Lonchura striata: one gene and its partner. Each later gene encodes a partner of the first gene's protein in a complex. Links are inferred from orthologs where the notes say so. Each region holds a gene or a part of one and is shown on either strand. Other genes may lie near its edges.

Region 1 (7,169 bases):
CACAGTACAAATTAAGTCCTATCCTGCTCTCCCCAAAAAAATTATTTTCTTTATCCCCTCTAGGATTCTCCCTTTTCCTTTCTTTGAATGCCATCTATCTATCTGGCTTTTTTTCCTCTTTTGTTCTTTCTCATGACTTTACACCAAAACAAAGGTGCCCTGTGTTACTCTTTCCATCAACAGAGAAGCAGTAAGAGCAACACTGAAGCAGACACAGAGGCAGTTCAAGCTCCTGTGCTTACACACCTTCACACTACTTCAACTCCAGACGTGAAAACAGCATTAATTCTGTCAGTTTTACCTTTTGGCTCTTGAACTATGAGGTGAGTGCATTCATTCATCTTCAGCTGGCCCGTGTACTGCCCACCATGCTCAGTAGTGAGGCGCTGCACTTCTTTCCTGTCGGAGCTGCTTAAGCCAGTGACACAAATTGTGCAGCCAAGGAACACAGGACAGACGTAGTCTTCCACGTTAACATCAGTGTACCTCACCATGCTACAGGAATGAATGAGAGAAAACAGTCATTTTGCAAGTAAAATCAACTATGAAAAAGAAATTAGTCTGTACATAAGAATTACCATTATCCAAAACAAAATCAGTTTTGTTTTTTTCATACCCTTGCTGAGATTTATCCCACAATGTCTTAACCCAAGAGGGAAGCAAAATAGGTTTCTTCAGGGAAGCAGCTACCAAGTATTTCTTGCTGCCAACTTCTCCAGCTATAAGATGAGTTACTGACATGTTGAGATCTCTGTATACACATCCACCCATCATTTGCACATATTTATGAACTTCTTCCTGGATGGGGAAAAAAACAGAGAAAACAGACAGGAGAAAAAAGAACCTATGTGGCAGTCATGTTCACTTTGCACCAAAAACATGGATTTCAATTGTCCACGATTTCCCCTAAAAATACCAACTAGATATATATGGAAGCCATAAAAAGGAAACTGTAATTTCCATTTTATTTGCACTTATGATGAACATAATATATACCCTAAATATATACCCTAAATAAAAACATGACAATTGTGGTCTATGAGCAAAACTTTGCAGATGGTTACCATTTCAGGAAGTACTAGAAAAAAATATCAGAATAAATATAAAGTAAACATATATAATCATATTTGAGGTGTATTAATACATTAATAGACCACACATAGTCCACAAGGTACAGAAGACTTGATGGATCTAGACACAGGCACAATGAGACATATATGCTCTGACTGCTGCCTTACTAATGAACAATGCAAAGCAAGTATCAATGATAACCAGCTAAACAATCCATCCTTGGGAAGGCCTTACCCTCACGTCCTTCTCCAGGCTGGTACAGGACACTGTGACATCAGCCATGGTCATGTTGTACACGGGATACTCAGCTCTTGGGACACAGCGCTGCGACTGCATGCAGTACAGAACTACCTGTGGTCCAACAATCCTACAGCCAAGCTGCAATAAAATAACAGGGAAAGCACAAAGAAAATAAGCAGGGTGTTCATTTGCATCAGGAAGGCTTTTCTTGTCCCTGAATTCTGAAGAAGGCAGGGCTCTTGGTCTGTCCTCCGCCTTCTTCTCTACAACCTCCAGGTAGCTGACAGTTCTGGTTTTACTTTCAGTTCTGGTTTTACTTTCAGTTCTGGTTTTTCTGTACAATCCTTGTAGATTTTCTGACTCAGTAAAAACAGCTGATGCTATGGCTAAGGCCAAAGGACTCCAGCTAGCCTGTGTCCATTAGACAATACCTTGCAGATGAAACCAAATCAACTTTATCAGGAGCTCAGGGACTCCAGCAGAGAACATGCCATTTACTTTTCCAAATGTTTAAAAATAATCATTATGCTTTGCATAATGATTAATAATAAATAATAATCATACACTGCTACACGCAGTGCAGAAGAGAACATGCAGGATATAAATATGGACATGAGTGCTTCTAAAAAGGAAAGAACAGAGCTCAAAGTAAGTTGCTGGATGCCATACCTTTTTGAGATGACTGAAACCCATGCCACTGAAAGGATCACAAATGTAAAGTGACTTATCATTTTCTTTTATATTGAGTACTGTTTCTTCTTCAAGGATCTGGAGATGTTCTTCTGACTGGAATTCTTTTATAGCCTGCAGGTAAATGATGTGTACAACAACATTTATTTAATTAGCAAATAATTAATAAAGAAGCAATCCTGTGCAAACTACACAAGTGCACGTCCTTGCAACAGCTCACAACAAAGCTACTATGCAAACAGGTATTGGCAGAAGGGCTAAAACACCTCTTCACAATATTCTAACTTAAATATTTCGCAAAGAAGCCTTCAGGACCTGATCCTGCCATATGGTGCCTTTGGCTCCCACTAACCTCCTAAGGTGTAAAACAATGCAGAGTGCTCAGATGAGCGACCACCATCCAGGCCTTACATGTCCCTTCCCTATATGTCACCAGGTTTTGAAACTGAAGCTACTTCATGAGGCTCTCCAACAAAACTGTTCTTGTTCAACAAGCTTTACTACACACTAACACCCCTGCTATAGAAAGAGATTTATTTCCAGGAGTACAGACGTAAGTTAGTTTATTGTATGGCATATACAGCCGAACTCCGACACAGAAATCACACTCCAGTTCACCAAGTTCACCCAGGTCACCAAACCCACTTACCTCAAGAGCTTTAGAAAAATACTCCGAGCTCCCGGCAGACTTTATGAACTTCACAAAAAACGGGTCCTTACTACTTCTCATCCTTCAACTACGAAGCAAAACCCAGTGAGCGCGCTGACATTCCCGCCGCAGCCCGGAAGCCCTCTCGCCCCTGGCGCTGTCCGCGCCGGGCCAGGGGCCCAGCACACGCCGCCCGGCCTCGGCGGCACCGGCTTCAAACGCGCACGGAGGGGCGGGGACTGGCCGACCCCAACCGAGAAGCCCCCTCCCCACCGGGAAGCCCGTTCCCCACCGGGAGGCCCGTTCCCCACAGGGCCAAGGCCCGCACGGACGGGTCCCTGCCGGGCAGCGGGTGCGCGGCGCTCCCGGTGCGCGGCGCTCCCAGCCCCGACGGACCCGGCCCGGCCCCTCACCCGCGCGGGAAAGCGGCGCTGCCGGCACTGCGCAGGCGCGGGGCGGGGCCGGGGTTTTTGATTCGCTAGCGCTGCCGGGGCGGGCAGAGGGGGCGGGGCCTGGGCGGATGTGGGCGGGGCGTGCCCGCGCTCCGCCCGCAGGGGGCGCTGGGCGCGCGCGTGGGGAGCGGGCGGGGCGGGCGGCTCGCTGAGGGCGCGCGGGGCCGCTGGGGGAGACGGGAGCGGAACTTAGGGAATCACCGAGGGATAACGCCTTGGGAGGGTGCTGAGCGGGCGTCTGGCCCCAGCCTCCCCTGCATGGCCCCCGCTGAATACGCTATACCCTATCCTGGCATTGACCACTACCAGGGATGGGGCATCTACAACCTTCTTGGGCAACCCGCTCCTCACCACTGTCACAGGAAAAAAATTCTTCCTGATATCTGACCTAAATGTCTGTCCCTTCTTTCAATTTGTGCCCCATATTATTCAATTTTTGCCCTATATATACATTACTCCTTATTCCTATCAGGGCAGTTCCTGACTGTGAGTCCCCCTCTGGCTTCCCTGCAGGCCCCCTTCAGATGCTCTGCATTGGGTTTGCACAGCCTGGTTAAAAACCAGGGTAGCCGGGGTGGCTGCTTTGAGCAGCCTCTGGAAGCTTCCTCCATGTCCAGCAGAGCCAAGCCCTGGACGATCCAAAGGTGGATTGGGCCAATTAGAAATGGCGATAACGTATCTATAGTAATATATTTAAGAAGAGAGAAAACCAAAAAATAGTTGGGAAATGGTAATTGTGGCCGGAGAAGAGTGGCGTGAGTTGCATTTTTCATCAACCATCACCCCCAGGTTGTTCTCCACAGGGCTGCATTCCATCGCTTCTACACACAACCTGGAGCTGTGTCTGGCATTGCCCTGACCCAGGTGTAGGACCTTGCACTTCACTTTCATTCTTGTAGGTTGTAGCGTCCAAGCTGTGGGCAAGAACATCAAATGCTCTCCTTCCAGAGCAAGGTCTGGAATCCGGAACCACATTCTTGGCATCTGCCTACATGATGACAGGGGGACCCTGCCTACACATCCGATGGATCTTCATTCCACTCTTAGTGACCACAGTGCCTTGCTGCTGTTTGCGTAATACTGATAATGCCTCTAGTGGGGGAGTCATTCCATTAGGAGATTTTCTTAGGGAAAGAGATCACACTATTAATTAGGTTAGAAAAGACCTCTGAGATCATCGCGTCCATTCCATGACCCAACACCATCCTGTCAACCAGATGGCAGATGTGGTACCACACCAAGAGCTACATACAGTCTCTCCTTAAACACCTCCAAAGACAGTGACACCACCCATTGGAAAGCCCATTCCAATGCCTAATCACCCTTTGTGTGAAGAAATTCATCCTAGAATATGTTTTGAACGAGAAAAGCACCAAAAGCCTGCCTGGAGTAGTGCATGTTTGCTGGCATCAAACTCTACAGTGAGACCACAGGGTGGCACTGTGATCTTAAGAACTGAAGAACTGTGCACAAGTCCGCTGCAATTGTTAGATTTTATCTAGATGACCTAATACTTAGGTCACTAAATACACTGGAATTCCTTTATACGCTTATTTATTTTTAAAACCACTAATATAAATCATCTAGGATCAGTATGAATGGCCTGAGATACTGCTTTTCCCATTGGTAAATGTAAACAAAATCAAATGTCATGACAACCAAAATAGCGTATTTATTATTAAATTATAAGTGGATTTATCTTGATGATGCTGTGTTATTTGATTATGCTGGTTCTTGGTCCACTTGTAAAACCCCAATTTTGTCCTGCCTGTTCTTTCAGTGTTACGAAGAGGAATTTATTTTCCTTTTTCATTCTTCTGGGCTGTTGTAAAAAATAAGGGGATGGAGGTGGGAAAAGATCAAGAAGTCTAACAAAATGTTAACCAACTTTAATGGATCGTATAATACAAACTATTGTTACAGTTATTGGCAGAGTCCTTAACTGAATGTATCAGCAGTGCAACCAAATACTGAGTTTTCAATTTTCTGCTTGAATGTGGATCACGGTTCATTGCTGTCACTGAAATATGACTTGTTTTCATGTGCTGAAGTGTGATCCCTTTCCAGTGAAGTGGTGGAAACTCTTGATAAGCTGCCAAACCACTGGGCCATCAACCTCAGTTCCACCTCTTTCCTCCAGAAGCTGCTTGTTGCTTAGAAAAATCCATTATTAGAAGTCCATGTTGTAGGAGAATCAGGGCAGTTTTTACATGCCTCTCAGAAAGCTTATCAGTGTGCCCATGCACGTTTGGTTGTTGTGCTTTGCTCCTGAAAGGTTGACAAAGAGGCATTACTGTGTCTGGCATCAAAGCCCTCCAGAGAAAGTAGTTTCCTAACTGCAAAGTGTTTTCAAGACCAAGCGAAAGTTCTTATCAAGAGCAGAATAAAATATAAAATTTTTCTATAAATGTATTCTGTAAGTAAAAAAAAAAACAAAAAAGCCTGACTAGAAGGTGTGTATTTGTCATTACACTGATATATTTACACATTTTAAAAGCATGTACAACGTCCAGAAAGTAATTGATGCACAGAGCCTTAAAGAAGAGTATGCAGCTGAAAATGAGGAGTGGTATTCTTCTGTTACACTTTCCATGTGGATGTAGTTCCAAAGAGGTGCTTAATATGACAAAATAAATAACACAGAACAAGTGGTTTGATAAGTAAAGATTTCCCTATTGTACTTCCTGCTTTCACAAGCACTTTCCACTGTAAAATTTCTTTGAGACTTCTTGAAACATTTGCTTCTTTGAAAATATTATTTAAAAGGCTGTCTAGAGAAGCTGGGAAACAGAAATTCCCCTTTTGGATAGTAACAGCAAACAAAATAGTCACTTTTAATTTGCTGTCTCCAAAGCTGTCCAATACCATATGTCTTAGGGGAAGTATAATAACTGTTAGAAGTAAAAATTGGTCCAAATTAATTAATACTCTGCTTGTGGTACATTCTTAAGCACCTGAGTAGCCCAGTATTTATTTCGTGTTTTCTATGTGTTCTGATGTTTTACAGGTTCTGAGCTTTATGGAGAATCAGTCGTATTTAACCACCAGTCTTACTAATTATGGAATTTTGCTCTCTGTAAGACTCCTAAATGGCAAAAAAACCCCCCATTGTCATAGCCCCCCAAATGATACCAGTTTCTAAAACAAAAGATAAATGGTCTGTGCCCTTGACTCTGTAGAACAGGGAGTATTTTTACTTATTCAGATGTTTTGTTAACTTAAATGTTTATAACATACACTTGTCTCTAAAAATATCTGTGTCAATCCAGTTCAGAAATAATTTTCACATCTGTTTCACCACTGCTGTGGTTTGATAGCCATTATGCCTGCATTCATTTTTTTTTTTAAAGTCTTTCTCTTGTGCAGATTACAAAAAAGGCAAGCAAAATCACTGCACTAAAGAACTAAAACAGTCTTGAGTCATTCTTCACATTTGATCCAACCTGGTTAAAGCTCCATGTGAAATACTTTATTTTTAAAATACTGTTACCACACTTATTTTCTGATCAGCTATAGGACATTAGTTTTTAAATGATAGCTCAGTAATATTATATTTTTAGCATGAGAAGCATATAAAAAAGCAGATGAGTAAAAGAGACTCTTCAGATGTATCAAACTCAAAAATCACTAGGTATTAGCCCCTAGCATTTAGAACTATTGTGAGAAAGATCTAAGTGGTTAGGACTCAACCATACACAAAAGAAAATATACCATAAAATATCAGAGTCCATTCTAAGTATATAAAATTTTCCATTTCATGCTGTATGATGGACCTTAGTAACTTAGCATTATTTATAGAGATACACAACCAGACCAGTAAAAAATATGTCTGAGACTAAGTTTAAATGAGTGAGGTATCTTGTGTAATGTACAAAGTCAAGAGATGTTTCTAAGTAACCAGTGTAACTTTAAAACCTCTAGTTCACTTCAAAAAATCTGTTAGCCTGCTAGCTCAGGACCCCAGTCAGGTAATTTTCTACCTTCTTTTCATGTATTTTAAAATACCCAAGTCTGTGAGTAAATGCAAATTTTGGTAAGTATGTGTTCTGTGATTTTTTTTTTCAGCT
Region 2 (7,491 bases), on another chromosome or scaffold:
GCCCCGCTGGGCCGCAGCAGCACCTCGTCAGCACTGGGGGGCAGGGCAGGGGGGTGAGACCCCCAGGGACCCCCTCAGGGACCCCCAGTTCCTACAGGGACCCCCTCAACCCCCACAGGGACCCCCAGTTCCTACAGGGACCCCCTCAACCCCCACAGGGATCACCCAACCCCTCAGCATTTGTTGGGCCACAGCAGAACCTGGTCCGTGCTGGGGGGCAGAGCAGGGGGGTGAGACCCCCAAGAGTGACCCCAGACCCCCACGGGGGACCCCAGTTCCTAAAGGGACCCCCAACCCCTGAACATTTGCAGGGCCACAGCAGAACCTGGTCCATGCTGGGGGGCAGAGAAGGGGGGTGAGACCCCCAAGAGTGACCCCAGACCCTCACAGGGAACCCCAGTTCCTACAGGGACCCCCTCAACCCCACAGGGATCACCCGACCCCTGAGCATTTGTTGGGCCACAGCAGAACCTGGTCCGTGCTGGGGGGCAGAGCAGGGGGGTGAGACCCCCAAGAGTGACCCCAGACCCTCACAGGGAACCCCAGTTCCTAAAGGGACCCCCAACCCCTCAGCATTTGTTGGGCCACAGCAGAACCTGGTCCGTGCTGGGGGGCAGAGCAGGGGGGTGAGACCCCCAAGAGTGACCAACCAACTCCCCCTGGACTGACCAACAGCACCCAGGGCTGACCCTCACTGGCATTGACCCTCACCTGTGCAAGGGGTACAGCCACATTGACCCACACCTGGCACTGCCCCACACCTGGCACTACCCTCACCTGGGGAAGGTGCGGCCCCGCAGCTCCCGGATGAACTGGGCACTGCCCGTGCGGGCCGGACGGCCGGGGTCCTGCTCCGGGGCCTTGGCCGGGCCACGGCGCCGCTTCACTGCGGGACAGGGGGACACGGTGGGGACAGGGGGACACGGTGGGGACACACAGGGACACGGTGGAGACAGTGGGGACAGAAGGACAGGACAAGGACAGAAAGACACAGGTGGGGACACACAAGGACAAAAGAACAGAGTGAGGACACACGGGGACACGGGTGGGGACACACAGGGAAGCAGGGACAGAGGAACAGGGAGGGATCCACACAGAGCCCAGAGCATCTCCCCCGCCCCCATCCCAGTGCATCCCAGTCCCTCCCAGTGCCAGCCACTGACAGAGAGCCTCTGTCCCCCCACCCCAGTCCCTCCCAGTCCTCCCAGTCCCACTCACTGACGGAAGGCCCCCTGAGCACAGCGCACTGGGGGCAGTGGTACAGGTCGATCTCCGCCGCCGCCTCCTCCTCCACCCCCACGCAGCTGTGGGGACACCCCAGTAACCACCAGGCACCTCCCCAGTAACCCCCAATGCCTCCCAGTGACCACCAGGCACCTCCCCAGTAACCCCCAATGCCTCCCAGTGACCACCAGGCACCTCCCCAGTAACCCCCCATCACACCCCAGAACTCTCTTTGTACCTCCCAGTCCCTCCCAGTATTCTGAAGACCCCCCCAGACTTCTCCCAGTGCCCTCTAGTACCACCCAGGCTTCTCCCAATCCTTCCCAGTTGCCTCTCAAATCCCTTCCAGTACCCCTGAACTTCTCCCAGTCACCTCCAGCACCCTCCAGATACCTCCCAGACTTGTCCCAGTCCTTCCCAGTACCCCCAGTCCCTCCCAGCCTTCTCCCAGTCCTTCCCAGTGTCTCCCAGTCCCCTCCAGCACCCTCCAGATGCCTCCCAGTACCTCCCAGACTTGTCCCAGTCCTTCCCAGTGCATCCCAGTACCCCCAGTCCTTCCCAGACGTCTCCCAGTCTCCCCACAGTGCCTCCGAGTCTTCTCCCAGTTCCCCCCAGTGCCTCCCAGTCCCCTCCAGCACCCTCCAGATGCCTCCCAGTCCCCTCCAGCACCCTCCAGATGCCTCCCAGTACCTCCCAGACTTGTCCCAGTCTTTCCCAGTGCCTCCCAGTACCCCTAGTCCCTCCCAGACGTCTCCTAGTCCCCCCCCCCCAGTGCCTCCCAGTCCCCTCCAGCACCCTCTGGATGCCTCCCAGTACCCCCAGTCCCAGTCCCCCCCAGTGCTCCCAGTCCCACCTGCCGTGGAACCAGTCCTGGCAGCCATCGCACTCGATCATGAAGCGGGTCACGTCGTAGGGCAGGCGGCACAGGCAGTACACGGGCACCGAGGCCATGGCCGGGCCCCCGGGGCGACCCCCGACCCTACGGACCCCCGCGACCCCCCCCGGCCCGGGACATCCGCGCGCTGCCCGCCAGACCCCCGAAAATCCCCTCAAAAAAAAAAATAAATAAACCAAAAAACACCCTCAAAATCACTCCAAAGGCAGCCTCAAAAAGATCTCCAAAACAGCCTAAAAAAACCCAAAACCAGCCTCAGAATCCCCCCAGAACAACCTCAGCAAAACCACAAGAACAGCCTCGAAAAGCGCCCCAAAAACACGCCTGAAACAACTCCCTCAAAAAGAAAAAACTAAAAAAAAAAAAAAAAAAAACCCAAAATCAACCCCTAGGCTGCTCCCCTATAAACACCCCCAAAGCCCCCCCAGATCGCGGCCAGCGGAGGGCCCTGAGGGGAATTGGGGAGCACAACCCCTAAAAAAACCAATATGGGTCGGGGGCACCCCAAAAGGGCCTGCGGAGATTGGGATCCCCCTCAGGTATTGATGAGAGCCTGAGACCTCCCCCAAAATTACACAGATGTAGGGAGACCCCTCCAAGGGTCACCGAGGCACTGTGACCCCCTCCCCGAGGCCCAGAGCCCCCCAAAAATGCGCCCGCAGGGTGCCCCCTACTCCTATTGCGTGTGGGGACCCCCAAAAGCGCCGCCGGGCCCGGGGTCCCCTCACAGCGCCCGCGGGGCCCCGGCCTCCCCCTCCTCCCGCGCTGTGGAGTCCCCGAGACCCCCTCAAAGACCCGCGGGACCCCCCTAAAAGCTTTGGGGATCCCCAAATAGCCGCCGACACCCCCACAAAGCCGACGGGACCCCCCGAGGCCTGCGGGCCGCCGCGAGGCCTGCGCCCCCCCCCCACCGCCACCTCCCGACTAGGCCGCAGCCCGCCCCGGCAAGGCCCAGCGCTTCTCGCGGCCGCTCCTCCGCCGCCGCCCGGTCGCTACCGCCGCTGCCGGCCCCGGGCCCGGTGCTGCCGCCGCCGCCGCGGCCTCTGCGCGCTCCGGGCCGCCCGGGAAAGTTTTATTCAAACGCGGAAACGGGGAGGGAGAGGGCGGGGCCCGGCCGCCATTTTGGCCGCGTCGCGCCGCCATCTTGGGAAGGGCGAGGGCGCCCCCATTGGGTGGGCGGGGGGCGGGGCCGCCATCTTGGGCGCGGCGCCGCCTTCGCCAGCTCGAGTGTCGCGGTCCGGCCGCCATGTTGGGAGTGGCGCGCACCAGCCACGCTTTTATTTCTCACATTTTAGGATTTTTTTTTTTTTCCCGCGCTTTTTAACAATTTCCCCACAAAACAAACGCCTTCCCCACCCTCTCGAACCAGAACACTCGAGAATTCACCCCGAAACCTCGCTGGCTTGGTGAAGGGGTGAGGTAGATGAGAGGAAAACACGACAAAATGACCCAAAAATGGGCTGAGGGAGGGGTACAGGAATGAGAGGGGGTTGTTGCACCAGTATGACCAGTATGGGCGGGGTGGGTCACCAGTAAACCCAGTACAGCCCACCTGCCTCCGCTGTGGTCACATTGGGAGAAATTCCAGGCCTGTGAGGGGCTTTGGGTGAAAAATGAGAATTTTGGGGGCTCTGGAGTGTTTTGAGAGGAAAAAAAAAGAATTTTTAGATAAATGAAAGGTTGGGGTTCAACTGTTTGAGTTTTAGGGCAAAACAAGGCCATTTAGGGGCTAAAAATTTGGGTTGCTTCATGTGGGGAAAGAAGAGTGACAAGGCCCAAAAAAAGGGATTTTTGTGTGAAATGAGGAGATTTTGGGGATGAAAATAGCGATGATACCCTGTGGGGGAAGGGCAGGCCCTAAAAGAGACTTTTTTGGATGAAATTATGCGATTTGGGGAGCAAAACCAGGGGTAATGTTGTGGGAGGGGTAAAAAAAGGGGAGATAGGCCCAAAAAAGGGGTTTTGGGGTGAAACAAGGCAATTTTGGGGCCAACAAGTGGCATCACATTTGGGGAGGTGAAAAAGATTAGTGGAAAGGCCACAAAAAACGAGATTTTTTGGGGTGAAATGAGGTGATTTGGGGGCTAAAAAATGGGGACACCTCATGCAGAGAGGGAAAGGCCCAAAAAAGGGGATTTTGGGGTAGAATGAGGGATTTAGGGCAGAAAACTGGGGTGGGCAGGGCACAAAAAAGGGGAGTTTTGGAGTGAAACAAGGGGATTTGGGGCACCAGGAAGTGCGGTCACCTTGCAAAGGGGGAATGACCCAAAAAAAGGTGGGGTTGGGATACAATAGAGAGATTTTGGGGCCAAAAAGGGGGGATTTGGGGTCAAAATGAGGTGGTTTTGGGGCCAGAAATTGGGGTTCGGGGCGCTTGAGTATCCTAAAAAGGGGATTTTGGGGGTGAATTGAGGCCAAAAAGTGGGTTCAGCCCACATGGGCAGCAAAAAAGGGGAAATTTTAGGGCAAAATAAGGCAATTTTGGGGCCAGAAATAGGGGTTCGGGGCGCTTGAGTATCCTAAAAAGGGGATTTTGGGGGTGAATTGAGGCCAAAAAGTGGGTTCAGCCCACATGGGCAGCAAAAAAGGGGAAATTTTAGGGCAAAATAAGGCAATTTTGGGGCCAGAAATAGGGGTCACAGCACAGGACCCAAAATAAGGGGAAGTTTGAGGTGAAACGAGGTCATTTTAGGGCTGGAAATTTGGGGTCACCAAATGCGGGGAGGGGGGTAAAACAAGGGGGTTTTGGGGTGAAACAAAGCAATTTCGGGGCTGAAAATTGGAAGTTTGACCCAAAATCTGGGTGTTGGAGGGGTCAGGGTCTGGGGCCCCCCTCACTCTGCCCCCGGGGGGAGGGGGCTGCCCCCCCCACGCAGGGCAGGTTTTGGGGGGGGCAGCTCCCCCCATTTTCGGGGGGTCCCACGAGTGCCGCGCAGGGTGGAGACCCAGGAGGAGGTGGCCTGGAGGGAGTGGGGGGCAAAAAAAGTGGTGTTCAGGTTTTGGGGATCCCCCCCAGACCCCCAAAAAGGGGGTGAAGTGCACCCCCAAGCCCCCAAACCCTCCAAAAACGACTGTGGGGATCCCCCAGACACCAAAAAAGGAAGTTCAGGGTCCCCCTCAAGCCATGCCAGCCCCCCAAGATGCCCCCAGCCCCCCAAAAATGGGGTGAAGCTCCCCAAAATGGGGTGCAGCCCCCCCCAATAGATCCCCTCATACCCCCAAAAAGGGGGTTCAGCTCCCTAAAAGCAATCTCAACCCCTCCCCAAAAAACCCTCACAGCTTTCCCACCCGCCCCGAGACTCCCAAAAATGGGGTGCATGGCCCCTGTAGACCCCCAAAATCCCCTGAGCACCTCAAAAATGGGATGCAGCCCCCCAATAACCATCTCAGACCCCCCAAAAAATCCCCCCAGACTCCCAAAAAGCCCTCCCGACCCCTAAAAATGGGATACAGGACCCTTCTAATCCCCCAAAAAAGGGGTGCAGGCATCCCAGACCCCCCCAAAAGTCCCCCCCAGCCCCCCACCTGGGCCCTGGCCGTGTCCTGGACCCACTCGTCCACCAGCCGGTGCAGGTCGTCGGTGAAGAGCCCCTTTTTTGGGGGGGCCGGGGGGATCGGGGGGCCCGGGGAGGGAGCTGAGGCTTCTGTGGGTGAGGGAGGGGAGTTTGGAAAACAGGGGAGCGCCCCAGGGCCCACCTGCACCCAAAAACCTCCCCCTGCACCCCAAAACCCCTCCCTGCACGGCAAAACCTCTTTTTACCCCAAACTGCGCACCCTCAAAATCCCAAAATCCCTCTAAAAATTCCCCTTTTTACCCCTAAACCTCCCCCTTCATGCACAAAATCCCCTCTTTGTACCCCAAAACCTCCCCCTGCACCCCAAAATCCCCTCCTTGCTCCCCAGCATCTCCTTTGCACCCCAAACCCCTCTTAGCCTCAACCTCCCAACACCCCAAACCTTTCATACCCCAAAACCCCCTCCCCCTGCACACCAAAACCTCCTCTTTTTACCCCAACCTCCTTCCCCCACCCCAAAATCCACTCTTTGTCCCCCCAAATCCCCTCTTTTCCCCCCAAAATCCCCTCTTTTCCCCCCAAACCTGTCAGGGCCACTCCCCGGCCCCTCCCTCGTGCCCGGGCCCCCCGAGGCCGCCTCGGGGACCCCCCGTGGCCGCGCTGGGGGGGGGTCCCACCGCCCCCTCCCCATTTCGGGGGGTCCCCCCGGGCCTCTTTGAGGGCCCGGAGCCGCCGGTGCAGCTCCCGCAGCTCCCGGTCCTGCCGCGCCCGCAGCTCCAGAACCTCCTGGATGTGCCTGGGGGAACCAGGGGGGGGTCACGGGGGTCCCCAAAACCCTCCCAGGGCCCCCAAAACGTCCCCAAGACCCCCAAAATCTCCCCTGGGCCCCCAAACTCTCTCAGGGGGCTGCACTGGCAGCTCCTGGGACCTCCTGGACGTGCTTGGGGGACGTCCCCAAACCCCTCCTGGGACTCCCAAAACCCTCCCAGGACCCCCAAAACGTCCCCAAGACCCCCAAAATCTCCCCTGGGCCCCCAAACTCTCTCGGGGGGCTGCACTGGCAGCTCCTGGGACCTCCTGGACGTGCTTGGAGGGGTCCACCGGGGTCCCAGTCCTGCCACACTCACAGCTCCAGCACCTCCTGGATAAGCTCAGGTGGGGTCAGGGGGTGTCCCTAAACCTCTCCAAGCCACCTTGGGACCCCCAAAACCTCCTCAGGACCCCCCAAATCCCCCCAAAGCCCCTCACTCACTTTTCCCGCAGCCGCCGCAGCTGCTCCCGCAGCGCCTCGTCCTCGGGCTCCGAGTCCCCGTCGCTGCTCAGGGGGGTCTCGGGGGACCCCGGGGGGAGCAGGGGGGCCCCGGGGGGGTGTGGGGGTCCCCCCAGCCCCCCACTCTCACTGCCTGAGCTGGGACCCCCCCAGTCGCCCTCGGGGTCGGCGGGCTCAGGAGGTGGCTAGGGAGGGACAGGGGGAGAGAGGGGTGACAGGAGATGGGGGTGAAGAGGGGGAGATTTGGGATCCCTGGGGCAGTTTTGGGAGTCCCTGGGACAGATTTGGGGGTCTCTGGGGTAGTTTTGGGGATCTCCGAGGCAGTTTGGGGGGTCCCTGGGGCAGTTTGGAGGTCCTTTGGAACAGTCTGGGGAGTCCCCAGGGCAGTTTGGGGGTTTCTGAGATAGTTCTGGGGTCCCTGGGGCAGTTTGGGGATTCCTTTGGCCAGTTTAGGGGGGATCCCTGGGGCAAATTTGGGGGGTCTCTGGGGTGGTTTGGGGGTCCCTGGGATAACTCTGGAGTCTCTTGGGGTAGTTCTGAGGTCTCTGGGGCAGTTTTGGGGGTGTCCATGTGGCAGTTTTAGGGTT

Evidence for each region.
Region 2: the proteins of TOPBP1 (region 1) and PHF8 are in contact, whole or in part, in a crystal structure (PDB 7CMZ), measured with the Homo sapiens proteins. The link is inferred for Lonchura striata from reciprocal best matches to the Homo sapiens genes TOPBP1 and PHF8. Residues at the interface, in NP_008958.2 of Homo sapiens: Gln1298, Cys1299, Arg1314, Asn1315, Glu1316, Leu1319, Arg1369, Ser1406, Arg1407, Gly1410, Phe1411, Arg1413, Leu1414, Arg1465, Thr1466, Glu1467, Ala1470, Asp1471, Gln1475, Asn1483, Tyr1484; in NP_001171825.1 of Homo sapiens: Gly842, Ala843, Cys844, Phe845, Asp847, Ala848, Tyr850, Ile851, Tyr852, Pro853, Ser854, Leu855, Glu856.

What each region holds. Positions count from the first base shown.
Region 1 is NC_134603.1:113,165,634-113,172,802, reverse strand, and holds the start of TOPBP1 (DNA topoisomerase 2-binding protein 1), read right to left. Parts: upstream 3,002-7,169; 5' UTR 2,732-3,001; coding exon 2,651-2,731; intron 2,116-2,650; coding exon 1,981-2,115; intron 1,450-1,980; coding exon 1,306-1,449; intron 799-1,305; coding exon 617-798; intron 496-616; coding exon 302-495; intron 1-301. UniProt on the Homo sapiens protein: Scaffold protein that acts as a key protein-protein adapter in DNA replication and DNA repair. Composed of multiple BRCT domains, which specifically recognize and bind phosphorylated proteins, bringing proteins together into functional combinations.
Region 2 is NC_134638.1:798,297-805,787, forward strand, and holds the start of PHF8 (histone lysine demethylase PHF8), read right to left. Parts: upstream 3,015-7,491; 5' UTR 2,176-3,014; coding exon 2,078-2,175; intron 1,305-2,077; coding exon 1,219-1,304; intron 887-1,218; coding exon 778-886; intron 34-777; coding exon 1-33. Other genes in the region: serine/threonine-protein kinase WNK3, read right to left, coding at 4,954-5,079, 5,645-5,763, 6,219-6,430, 6,887-7,089. UniProt on the Homo sapiens protein: Histone lysine demethylase with selectivity for the di- and monomethyl states that plays a key role cell cycle progression, rDNA transcription and brain development.